Drosophila melanogaster: one gene and its partner. The protein of the gene in region 2 interacts with the protein of the main gene of each other region in a biochemical or structural test. Each region holds a gene or a part of one and is shown on either strand. Other genes may lie near its edges.

Region 1 (4,824 bases), on a different chromosome or scaffold from region 2:
CTTGGCATTCTCCAGCAGCGGTATCAGGTCTGACCTCACATTCTGGCCAAATCCAATGGCCCGTCGAAAGGTGCGCAGTGTTTGGTCCTCATAGGTGAGCTTGTAGTTGATCTCCTCCAGAATGGCTGGGGATTGAAAATAAGTTAAATACCTAATTAATGTAGTAGTCCTATATTGATTACTCACCCAATGCATTCGGGTTGACCACATAGGTATCGCCCTCCAAGCAACCCAAGGAGGAGAACGCGCTGTACAACTGCGGAGTTGCTAGTAACCAGTCCATAACCGATTTCACTTTATCAAAGTTCTGATTATTCCAGATGTGATTGTGGAGCTGCCTAACTCTGCTCATTGTCGACTGCGAACATTGAGGTACTTCTTAGCCATTTGCGCGGTATCTGTAACTATAAGTAAACAAAAATGTATATTTAATTGTTATTAAAACTTAAATATTCTTAACGTGGTACCAGAGGTGAATTTAAATAATATTACACATTTAAACTGAGATGTGAAATGGTGAAAAATTTATGGCATTTTTGTAAGCTGTAACAGTCACCTTAAAATATGTTAAGGTCACTAACCCATCGTCTTCCAGGGCATTACGCAACCACAAATGATTCCCATAAATATTTGCACTCGCAAACAAAATCGCCACCCATGTGACCATCAAGGGCGCAGTCCATGCAATGTGCTGCAATTGCAGCCGCTCGGGGATGAAACCCGAATCAACTCCCATTCCACATCACCTCACACACGTGTCCGCACAGCACGTCTCCCATTTACCACCCGTTGCGAGTCGAATCAAGGAAACTGCCTACCAGACGAGCCCCGAAAGTTCCCAGAAGCCACACTTGCCAGTCCGGAAAGTGAAAAAGTGGGCTGGATTGGCAAACACCACCACCCCCCCCCCCCACACAGGGGGGAGCCCAACCTTCAGCCATCACGTAACGAGGCAAATCCTCAACAGGCGACTGCGGCACCCGGTGGCCGCATGTGACTCACTTGCAGACATCCGGGCTGATTGTGTAAACAACACAGTTGGAGGACAAAGCCACTGGGTTCGCAAACGGACTACGGACTACGGGACTCCGGAGGAACAAAGCCTGCAGTCGGAAAAGCCGACCACCCGTAGCGATATTTATAGGACATGAATCGGGATGCAGGATTTGGCATTTGTGCGGCTTCCAGCCTGCTGACTTTGAATGTTTCGTGCTATATTTGGCCATTAAAGCGAATGCAGTTTAGTTGCATTGGTTTTCGTTGCCCTCTTTTGGGCGAACACGTTAAATGGCACGCTAAATGGCCAAGAGCGGAAAATAAACAGCGCAAACAGTTGAGAAAATTTTAAAATTACAAAGCCATTTATGGCCTAGCTGATTTACTATAAAATTGTTTTAAAATGTAATAATGCTCAATAGGAAATTATATCTAAGAAGGGAGATTTAATTGTGTGTAAATTGAGGGACAATAAATTATGGACATTTTATAGAAAATATTAAAAAATATAATTAATAAGAAAACAGTGATATCTAAGAGAAAAAAAATAAAAATACTTTTCTTTTAAATTTTACTTAGATATTTCTACTGAAACTAATATCGAATTTTGTTGGTCGAGCATAATTTTTGCACCATCCGAAATCATAGATCATCTGAGCATCTTTGTATCTGTGAAACGTTTCTAGCAACCCCAATACCATTTCCGCTGACTGGTTATGAAATCAAAGACCCAACTTACATAAAACGCAAGGCGAGAACTACAAAATGATATGCGCATTGAAATTTCGAGCTGAGTATCTACTTTTCTTGGAGAGTGAAAACAATTTTCATTCTTTCGCAAAGGGGAAATTCATTGAAGCGAGGTTGAATTTGCATTTGAAACGGAAAGCAAAGATAGATCACGAATAAATATTTAAGATTTGAATTTGCAATGCAAATACATCTGAGGGTCGTTAAAATCCTAGCTAAACGAGCAGAAACCACTGAACATCTGTGTGCCAGGATGAAATCTGTCAGTTTCAGGACGATTCCCGTACTTATTTCGCTATCCTGTTTCTGACAGGAATTCCGTGGAAGGCCAAGCCTCCTTTTTTGACAGTTCACTGCGTGCTTTTTACATAAGAATTGTAACGGAGAATTGTTGTGCTTCGTAAATTGCCCCTTTAACTTGTTTTCATTTTCCCAGTATTATGTGATTTCGTTTTCATGTGGAAATGGGTTTTCTTTCTGTGCAAGCTTTAATTGCTTGAATATGTCGCCGCTTAAAGCTACTTTTTAGAAAGCTTTGTTAAAGTGTAATTTTGTCAGGGGTCAACTGATAACGAACTGTGTTAGGTCAGGTCTAAGCTATGTAATGTTAAATATACTAGTGGTTTATATTTCTTACCAATTATTTAAATTTTTTCTATCGCAGACAATTTTACTGTTTTAGTTTTAGCCGAATTGCAATCAACAATTAAAGCTGATTGTTTATGTTTCTAAGCAATTGAGCTTTTCTGAGCACTTTTTGGGTTTCTTTGCAGAATAGATCGTGTTATAGTTTCAGTGCTGTTATATACACTGATGAAATTATTTTTGTTTTATATCTGAAAGTAGTTTTAAGAATATTTGTTAGGGTAAATTCAGTTTTTTTGGTAATATTAAGATTTTAACCACTCATGAAAAATTTGTTAAGGATTTGCAATTTTATTTAACACTTTGTGAACTTTGCTTTGTTAACACTGCACAAAAAATTCTTTATACTCGTTGTTGGCTTATGTAAAATGCAACTTCAATAGCAATTAATTTGCACTTTTTTCGATTGCAATCTAGGCTAAACACTGAGAGAAAGACCAGTGAGTCATGTAAGCACTCTCTTTAAGATTATTGATATGTGAATTAATAAATATTATTGCATGAATTCACAAAAGTATTCAAGATTATTTTAGCAAAATATCTTTATTAAATTTTCTTTATTTAAGAGATATTTATTTTCGAAACTTCTATTTTGTTGATAAACTTCGAACCGCTCAACGAACCGCTTACTTGGAACGCACAATGCTGAATGCGATCTGAGTTACGGCTAGCTCACCGAAGTCAGATACAAAATGCATCTCACAGATACACACACTGACCGAAACACCCACTCACACAGGGCCAACGTGCCGCTGCCGGCGTTTGTGCGAACGAAAGACGCTAGCCGAAAGCTCTCGCCGCGCTGCTCCGTCCCGCTCGCACTCAATGCCGGACGGCCGGGGAAATCGGCTCACGTGTAATCACAACGTGCCGCACGTTTATTTGCCAACCGCCACTACGATGTTCGATAACATGAATAACCAGCGCCGGAAAATACGGAGAACAGTCTGGGAACAACAGCAATAGTCAGAACGTTTCTGTGCACTCAAAAAAAAAAAGTGTGTCACTTTACCAAATGGTATCTTCAATAACGAGACTTCACTTTACTTTAATACTTTACTTTACTTTATTTAATAAATGTATATATTTAGTGTGCAAAATAATTAATATAAATGATTTCAAAACTACGTTTTTTTTTGATTATACAACACTCACGTTTATATGTATATAATATATTCAATGACATATTTTGTTACATACATAAATATTATATTATTTTGTCTGCTGCTGTACTGTATTCCTCACAGACGTTTCACATTAAAACCAATATTTTTTTCAGTGTAAAGTTAAACGTTTTTGACGCCGCCTTCGAACGACTCTGCCGTAGGCTTCGTCAGGGTGACATTGTTCGGCTCTGAGTGCCTCAGATGATCCGTTGAATAATCCTTTTGGGAACGGAATCAACAGTTGGTTGCAGGCGCGGGCACACGCGGCGTATACGCACCGGGCTCATTGAATGCGTATACTGTGGGGAGCGTATATATTTACTTTGAGTGTTTCCACGGTGGCGCGAGCTGCAGCACGTCGGCACCGAATCGCGGTGGTAAATCGACTGGAAACGGAGGTTTAGGAAAATACTTTTGCTCGGACTGGGGCGATAGAAATAAATAACTGACACTCTCATTTTACGAAGTCACTCACTCACAATAGGCGATTTGACGTCAAAATGTTATTCAACCCAGACTATCAAATTCTATTATTTCAATAAGAAGATTAGTTGTCACAAAAAAAAGAAACAAATTAATAATGCTGTTAATTAGATGGTTAGACTTTTGTAAAAGGTGACAATCTAACTATATTTTTAATATAAAGGAGCAGATTTTGATTGAATACATTTCAACTATGAATTAATTTTTTTATTTTTTGCAAATAATATTTAAGTTATATATCCATTGCTGCAAAGTGAATGGAGAAAAACGAAAGTGCCAATGTAAGAACATAGCATTGATTAGACCACTTCAGCCGATCCGCCCAAAGTTTCCACTCAACGTAAGTTGTGCGATCACTTCGCCAATGCCAAGGCTATGCAAGTACATACATCTGAATTATGCAACGCCTGATGTTAATTTCTGTAAGCTAATTTATCACTAAGCAAACACAACAATGGCGGAGTCCGTTCAGCGGCAAAGTAAGCCACGCCAATGCACAAAAACTTGTCCCTACGTATACGTAATGCAAGTAATTGCGTATACGCCGCATGTAACACATGAACGGTGGACAGTCACGATGAAAGTTGGCTGATAAGCCTCCCAATCAAAAGCAAAACAATTAGATGCGATGCCCACTCCATCCCTCACAAACGGCCAAGGACTCGTGCAGCCCGACACATCCTCTTAACGTGGCCAAGTAGACTCATTTCCAACAACGCGACATGCGCCGGCGAAGTGTGCGATATCCTGGAGGGTCGCGTGTTTGAAATGCTGGCTGCGTGCT
Region 2 (7,891 bases):
TGCTGAAGTAATTTCACTTGAGCTTGTATCTCCGTTTGTGCTTACAGTTCAACGCTGGGACGGAATTGTGGTGCCAGTAATGCCACCTGATGTGCTACGTCCATCCTCTAATCGCAATCCATATTCATGGGTCCACAGGTCCTCGGACCTACGCCACTTGGACGTTGAAAGGGTGGGCCTTGGGAACTCGGCTCTAATCCCGCTCACAGTCCGACCGACACTCACCCGAAATCACCACCCGGAATCCGATTAGCGGCAATCAAATGAAATCACAGCACATCAAAACGCGACGGGGAGTGGCGAAGTGCGGCAAGTCAACAGTCGCAGCATCAAAATCAAATTAGCAGCAGTTTGGTGGCTAATTCGAACGCACTTTATCATTTTCGGGCAGGCGTCTGTGACTTTGTGGCACGTGTGTGGCCGCGATAGATAAGAGCGAGCCCCAGCAAATGCCAGCAAACTCCGGCTAGCTTGGGCAAACACCACACACGTGGCCACAAAGGAGCTGCGTGTGGAGTGGGTGCCGGGTCAAATGGATTTTCACACCCACTCGACGTCGGCAAAGCCGCCAATTAATAGAATTCAATTATTCAAAGCCACCGCAGGCCGATGGGACGGCTGATAAGGCATAAAGACATCCTTGGGCACTTCGATCGGATTAGGATAATAAAAAATGCTCCGAAAAAAAAAGAAGTTGTGGGGTCCATAAAAATATGCTTTTATGAGGGGGTAGCTAAAATCATTTCCTATTTATCAGATGCCTCAACTTTTAACCCTTCAATTGCGAAGACTAAAAGCCAAATTCAATGCACAGAAATTGCAAGTAATAATCATTTGTAACTGCATAGCAGTAGTATCAGCATCGAACCGAACCACTCGACCGCTCGGAGTTCATCAACCCCTCGTGGAAAGACGGGGAATCCCCTGCTGGCAGGTATGTGTAACGCCACCTGTGGGCCACAGCGCGCAACAGCCAGCTGGGCGGAGGCGGAAAAGCCAGGGAAAATCAGCTGTCGCTATCATCCCACTCCGTACGTGTTTCAGCGCACGCCGCGCACACCTGCCCAGGTAGAGCTTCCACGGGACAAACGGGAAACAGAAGCCCCCAAAAGCTTGGCGCCACTTTCAACTTTTCATCCGTGCTAGAGAGCCGAGCTGCTAGACCGATGCACTGCGTTGACTGCGGACTGGCGCTCTGGTGCACTGCTGGCCGCACTTGGACGATGACCAGGTGGGTGGGTGAGTAATGCCGTTGCGAAATGCCAGTGCCAGTGCGAGTTCGCACAATTCATGGTGGGGCAGGGACGGGTCCGAGTGCAAAAAGCGTCCGAGAAAGCCGTAGGCAGTGAAAAGCCGCCGCTCACGTGGCGAACTGCGTGACTTGGCCAGCAAATCCGCCGCCCAGCCGGCTCCCCGGAAAACACCCCTCGGAAAACGTGCTGCCAGCCGCCCACCAGGCAGCCCCAAAAAGGCAGGGGATTCCATAGCTTTCCTTAACCTGCAGTTGGTGCGTGGGGCTTGGATTGACACTTGGCATCGGCAGTGCCATGTAACGTATCCCACAGCATAGATAAAAACCAAAAGAAACTAGTATTCAATAGAAGCTATGAAAAAGAAAGATATCCAACATTATAGCAATCTATAAATGGGGTTTCTTGCTATGGAAAAGGGAGTCTTTGGCATTCCAATTACTTGCTTTTGTTGTTCGCGCAAAAGCTTCGCCCAAGGGTTAATGTTTGGGTCCGAGTATCTCAGCCGACCAGCGATTTCCCGAGCGACTGCGATTCCCAGCGATTCTCAGCGACGGCGGAGAGCAGCGAGTGAGTGTGAGAAAATTCTGGGAATGCGAGTGCACGGGGGCTTATACACCGGAGCTTGCGATGCGAGCACTAGTGTTCGTGCGAATTTAGAGCCAGAAGGTCGACAACGCGTTCGTCGCACAGTAGAAAGTATTGCCATATACCAAATAAATCGCAACAACGACCTGTCGAATCACGCAAACAAACAGCTTCGTTTTTTTTTTTTTAATTTCGACCAGAAACAAACCGTTATTCTTTGGTGCCAGTGTTAGTGTCAAGTGTATCGAGCTGAGTGACATATAGCCACAGCCAAAAAGTGAGACCATAAGTGAGATTCCAAACAGAAGGCAGCAGCAGCCTAATCGCAGCCTAATCGCAAAAAAGTGCAGCTGGGTGAGAGCGAGAGCGAGTGTGTAAGTGCAATTGTCACGTTGTTGCAATAAAGCTGCAAAGAAAAATCTCAGCAAGAGGCGCTAGATAGACCATTATCATATTGCCAATACAAAACAACGCATTGGGCAGGCAGCTTACATAAATAACTCGGTTCATAACGTCCAATGGCGCACTTACACATATGTACATATAGTGTTTATTAATAAGTGCACGTTGCACACCGAGCAAAGCGTAAACAAAAGCCCACATCAAAATACCTGACCCTACCGAACAATGCTCCGGGAATGCCCCACCACTTCCTTCCTTGCAGTGCCAAACAAACATACTCTGGCCGCAGAATACGCATACGCAACGTGGTGCACCACTGCAGCCGCTTGCCTTCCGGTCACCTGGAGTGCAGTACTGCAGCACACTGCGCCTACGTGAAGTGAACTCATTCATATATGTAGCTACATAGCTCTAATCGATGCCCGGCATCCAATCTGGGTCAGAGCATATTGCGCATACGCAGCGTGTTCCCTTTTGGGCATTGCACCTTGGTATTTTCAGCTTATTTGCTGCACACACGCCACGTGGGCGCAGTAATTTCTGGCAAATTTGGAATGTCTATTAAAACCCCTACGATTTGGATAGCCGCAGTCGCAGTCGCGTTACACAAGCTAAACAGAGTACCACCATTAATAGCTCAACGTTCCCATTCGTGCCCCGAATTTTCCCACAGTCTTTCCCAGTATGTCTTGCCCCCGGGTTATGCGACTGTTATCCATGTCTGTCGCGCTTCCTGTGCTGCATTATCTAACATCCTCGGAATGACGCACGACCAATGTAATCCAGCAATCCAGAGGCATCGCGGCGGATTCGATTCGACCAGTTGGCCTTCTTGCTTTGCTGCGTCAAAGTTCACCCACATATGGGATGCGAACTGGGTTAACCAGCGAGTTACACAATCCTTGGTGGGTATAAACTGAAGGATTTGGGCAGATTGAGCAGTCGGTTGGAAGCCAGTTTGTTGGGCAAAAAAATGGTATTATCCAATGGAATTTTTCACCTTCTTTGGAATTCTTTCTTCTTGAATTCTGGGCCGTCGAAACAACTATCAGCTTGTTTACTTGGCCCATTTGGTTATCTTTGCTTTTAATGGAAACTCTGAAGAGCCTGGAATGGGGTCCACCCTAATGCCTGTGTGTCTGTGTAGTATTTTTGGGTTTAGTTGATTCAGCCAAATCGGAGAGAATGAACCTGGGTCTTATGCAATCGCTGAAACCGAACTCCTTGCCGAATTGAATGCTTGCTATATGCACCGATTACGACATAGTGGTGCATTGTGAGAAATATGAGTTCTTCGCTGCGTTCTTTTTTTGTAATTGCAAAATTGCTGAAAAGAATGTGTCTTCTACTGAGGTACAGGGTACATGGTTCTGAACTACACACTACACGTATCTAAGTATCTAAGTACGTATCTGCGAATCTGGAGCCGGGATGCATTGCGACTGCATAACGACATCCGTTGGCGGAGCGGCAGAGGCAACGCGAGAGCAAAAGCACATCGCACTGCACGTGAATGCAGCGTCGCGCCGTCTCGCTCTCGCTCCCGCTGCGCTGTTAATTAGCACAGTGAAGCCTCGTTGCAGGCAACCACCGTGTGGGCGACATTGTTCTCTATCTATCGTTCTGAGTCTGGGCCGGGCAGAGAGTATACGATTCAATCAATGGCCACCATGCAGGTGCAAGTCAAGGTGACAATTTCACAACAATGCTCCAGCCAATTAGGACTAGAAGTTATCCAAGCCATGATTCATGAACATGAATGGCAGGCAGTCGGAACACGTGCAACGCCTGGTTTCCCCCCCATCATCCATTCGCTTGGCCTAGAAGATCCTAGAAAGCGTTGGTGGTTAGCTGGGCGGCACAATACTATTGGCGAGCAACGTGAAGACGGTAACGAAGCAACATTCGGAATTTGAATTGGATTCTAGAGAATCGGGGGGGTTTGCGCGTCGCAGCCCGGTGCCGCAACAGATTTCGTGATTCATTTCATCACCCGGCCGAAGTGAAACTACTCACAACGCAATCGACTCACGTTGATGCAACAGCGCTGCTCTGAATGAATCCGGTGCAAATAGAATCCGCATTGTAGTGGTTGGTCATTCATTCAACGGATACTCAGTAGTCACGGAATCTCCTCGAAGGAAGGACAAACATAGATACATAGGTTCATCATAGAAGTGAAATCAGTTAGTTAGTTATTTAGTTACCCCCATTCAAGGTCCTATCAAGGATAACTGAAGTGCTAATGGTCATCATACGATTTTCCAGAATCTCGCACTAGTCAACCAACTGGGCAAGCTGGAGAACCTAAGCACCATGGAGGGCGGCGAGTCCACGGAGTCCACACACAACACCAAGGTGTCCGACTCGGCCTACTCGAACAGCTGCAGCAACAGCCAGTCGCAGCGCAGGTGAGTCCATTTGATGTGCTCAATCATGCGAGTAGTCTAAACGATCCATCCCCTTTCCAGTGGCAGCTCCAAATCCCGCCTGAGCGGCAGCCACTCCTCCGGCAGCAGTGGCTATGGGGGCAAGCCCTCGACGCAGGCCAGCAGCAGCGACATGATCATCAAGCGCAACAAGGATAAGTCGCGCAAGAAGAAGAAGAACAAGGGCGCCGGCCAGGGGGCGGGGCAGGCGCAGACCCTGATCTCGGCGTCGACGAGCCTAGAGGGCAGGGACGAGGAGAAGCCGCGGCCCAGCGGCACTGGGTGCGTAGAACAGCAGATCTGCCGAGAGCTGCAGGATCAACAGCACGGCGAGGATCACAGCGAGCCGCAGGCCATAGAGCAGCTGCAGCAGGAGGAGGAGGAGGATCAGTCCGGCTCCGAGTCGGAGGCGGACCGAGTCGAGGGCGTGGCCAAGTCGGAGGCGGCACAGAGCTTTCCGATTCCCTCGCCGCTATCCGTCACCATTGTCCCGCCCTCGATGGGCGGCTGCGGCGGAGTGGGCCACGCAGCCGGTCTGGACAGCGGGCTGGCCAAGTTCGACAAGACCTGGGAGGCAGGTCCGGGCAAGCTGGAGTCCATGACCGGGGTGGGCGCAGCGGCGGCGGGCACAGGGCAGCGCGGGGAGCGGGTGAAGGAGGACAGCTTCTGCTGCGTCATCTCCATGCACGACGGCATCGTCCTGTACACGACGCCCAGCATCACCGATGTCCTGGGCTACCCGCGCGACATGTGGCTGGGCAGGTCCTTCATCGATTTTGTGCACCTTAAGGACCGCGCCACCTTCGCCAGTCAGATCACCACGGGCATACCCATTGCGGAATCCAGGGGCAGCGTGCCCAAGGACGCCAAGAGCACCTTCTGCGTGATGCTGCGTCGCTACCGGGGACTCAAGTCCGGCGGATTCGGCGTCATCGGCAGGCCCGTCAGCTACGAACCCTTCCGCCTGGGGCTCACCTTCAGGGAGGCTCCGGAGGAGGCGCGACCGGACAACTACATGGTCTCCAATGGCACCAACATGCTGCTCGTCATCTGCGCCACTCCGATCAAGAGCAGCTACAAGGGTGAGTATCTGTGCCCGTTTTGGTTTCATCCAGCCATCTAACCATCGATCTCTGCCCCCCCCAGTTCCCGACGAGATTCTCTCACAGAAGAGCCCCAAGTTCGCCATACGCCACACGGCCACCGGGATCATATCGCACGTGGACAGCGCGGCGGTCAGTGCACTGGGCTATCTGCCGCAGGACCTGATTGGCCGCAGCATCATGGACTTCTACCACCACGAGGACCTCTCAGTCATGAAGGAGACCTACGAGACGGTAATGAAGAAGGGTCAGACGGCGGGCGCCTCCTTCTGCAGCAAGCCATACCGCTTCCTCATCCAGAACGGTTGCTACGTCCTTCTGGAGACCGAATGGACCAGCTTCGTCAATCCATGGTCCCGCAAGCTGGAATTTGTCGTCGGACACCATCGCGTCTTTCAGGGTGAGTTCGCGTGCCGACCCAGTGATCCAATGATCCTCTAAACAGGTCATTTCACCTTCCAGGACCCAAGCAGTGCAACGTCTTCGAGGCGGCGCCCACATGTAAGCTGAAGATATCGGAGGAGGCACAGAGCCGGAACACGCGAATCAAGGAGGATATCGTGAAGCGCCTGGCGGAGACGGTGTCCCGTCCGTCGGACACGGTCAAGCAGGAGGTTTCCCGCCGCTGCCAGGCGCTGGCCAGCTTCATGGAAACGCTCATGGACGAGGTGTCCCGGGCGGATCTCAAGCTGGAGCTGCCGCACGAGAACGAGTTGACCGTCTCGGAGCGGGACAGCGTGATGCTCGGCGAGATTTCGCCGCACCACGACTACTATGACAGTAAGAGTTCCACCGAGACGCCGCCCAGCTACAACCAGCTAAACTATAACGAGAACCTGCTGCGTTTTTTCAACAGCAAGCCGGTCACGGCGCCGGCGGAGCTCGATCCGCCCAAAACGGAGCCGCCGGAGCCGCGCGGCACGTGTGTCAGTGGCGCCAGTGGTCCGATGAGTCCCGTCCACGAGGGCAGCGGGGGCAGTGGCTCCTCGGGCAACTTCACCACCGCCAGTAACATACACATGAGCAGTGTGACAAATACGAGCATTGCCGGCACTGGTGGCACGGGCACTGGTACAGGTACAGGTACTGGAACTGGAACTGGAACCGGGACAGGAACTGGAACCGGGACAGGAACTGGAACGGGAACAGGTACAGGCACAGGCACAGGCACTGGAACAGGCAATGGAACAAATTCCGGCACCGGAACCGGCACCGCCAGCTCATCCAAAGGCGGAAGCGCCGCCATACCGCCAGTCACGCTGACCGAATCCCTGCTCAATAAGCACAACGACGAGATGGAGAAGTTCATGCTGAAGAAGCACCGCGAGTCGCGCGGACGGACGGGTGAGAAGAGCAAGAAGTCCGCCAATGACACCCTTAAGATGCTGGAGTACAGCGGTCCAGGCCACGGGATAAAAAGAGGAGGCTCCCATTCCTGGGAGGGAGAGGCCAACAAGCCCAAGCAGCAGCTAACCCTGGGAACAGATGCGATCAAGGGAGCGGCAGGAAGTGCGGGCGGAGCAGTCGGCACTGGCGGTGTGGGATCAGGAGGAGCCGGTGTGGCGGGCGGAGGAGGATCCGGAACAGGCGTAGCAGGCACACCAGAAGGCAGAGCCACAACGACCTCGGGAACGGGGACACCAGGTGGAGCCGGAGGCGGAGGCGGAGCAGGAGCGGCAGCAGCGGCTGGAGCGTCCTCCTCCGTGGGCAGTTCCACGCCAGGACCCTCGTCCTATCCCACCTGCACGCAAAACATAAACCTCTGGCCACCGTTCTCGGTGGGCATCACACCGCCCGTTCACTCCACGCACACGGCCATGGCCCAGAGCAGCTTCTCCTCCGCCGGCCTCTTCCCGACCTTCTACTACATCCCCGCCTCCTTGACGCCCACCAGTCCCACGCGCTCTCCCCGGATGCACAAGCATCCGCACAAGGGTGGCACGGACATGCCCACCACCTCGCAGCAGGCGGCTGCCGCGGCCGCCCAGGCCATGCCGCTGCAGTACATGGCCGGCGTGATGTACCCGCATCCTTCGCTTTTCTACACACACCCGGCGGCGGCCGCGGCCACGGCCATGATGTACCAGCCGATGCCCTTTCCGGGAATGGCCAACGCTCT

The links. The genes of interacting proteins can lie anywhere in the genome.
Region 1: the proteins of per (region 2) and tim form a complex in vitro, tested with the Drosophila melanogaster proteins (one study listed by BioGRID).

What each region holds. Positions count from the first base shown.
Region 1 is NT_033779.5:3,504,175-3,508,998, forward strand, and holds the start of tim (timeless), read right to left. Parts: upstream 3,045-4,824; 5' UTR 3,022-3,044; exon of another isoform or gene 3,015-3,021; intron 2,583-3,014; 5' UTR 2,384-2,582; intron 405-2,383; 5' UTR 353-404; coding exon 187-352; intron 126-186; coding exon 1-125. UniProt on the Drosophila melanogaster protein: Required for the production of circadian rhythms. The biological cycle depends on the rhythmic formation and nuclear localization of the TIM-PER complex. Light induces the degradation of TIM, which promotes elimination of PER.
Region 2 is NC_004354.4:2,683,689-2,691,579, forward strand, and holds the start of per (period), read left to right. Parts: upstream 1-1,891; 5' UTR 1,892-2,212; intron 2,213-4,508; 5' UTR 4,509-4,556; coding exon 4,557-4,651; intron 4,652-4,711; coding exon 4,712-5,751; intron 5,752-5,815; coding exon 5,816-6,172; intron 6,173-6,234; coding exon 6,235-7,891. UniProt on the Drosophila melanogaster protein: Essential for biological clock functions. Determines the period length of circadian and ultradian rhythms; an increase in PER dosage leads to shortened circadian rhythms and a decrease leads to lengthened circadian rhythms.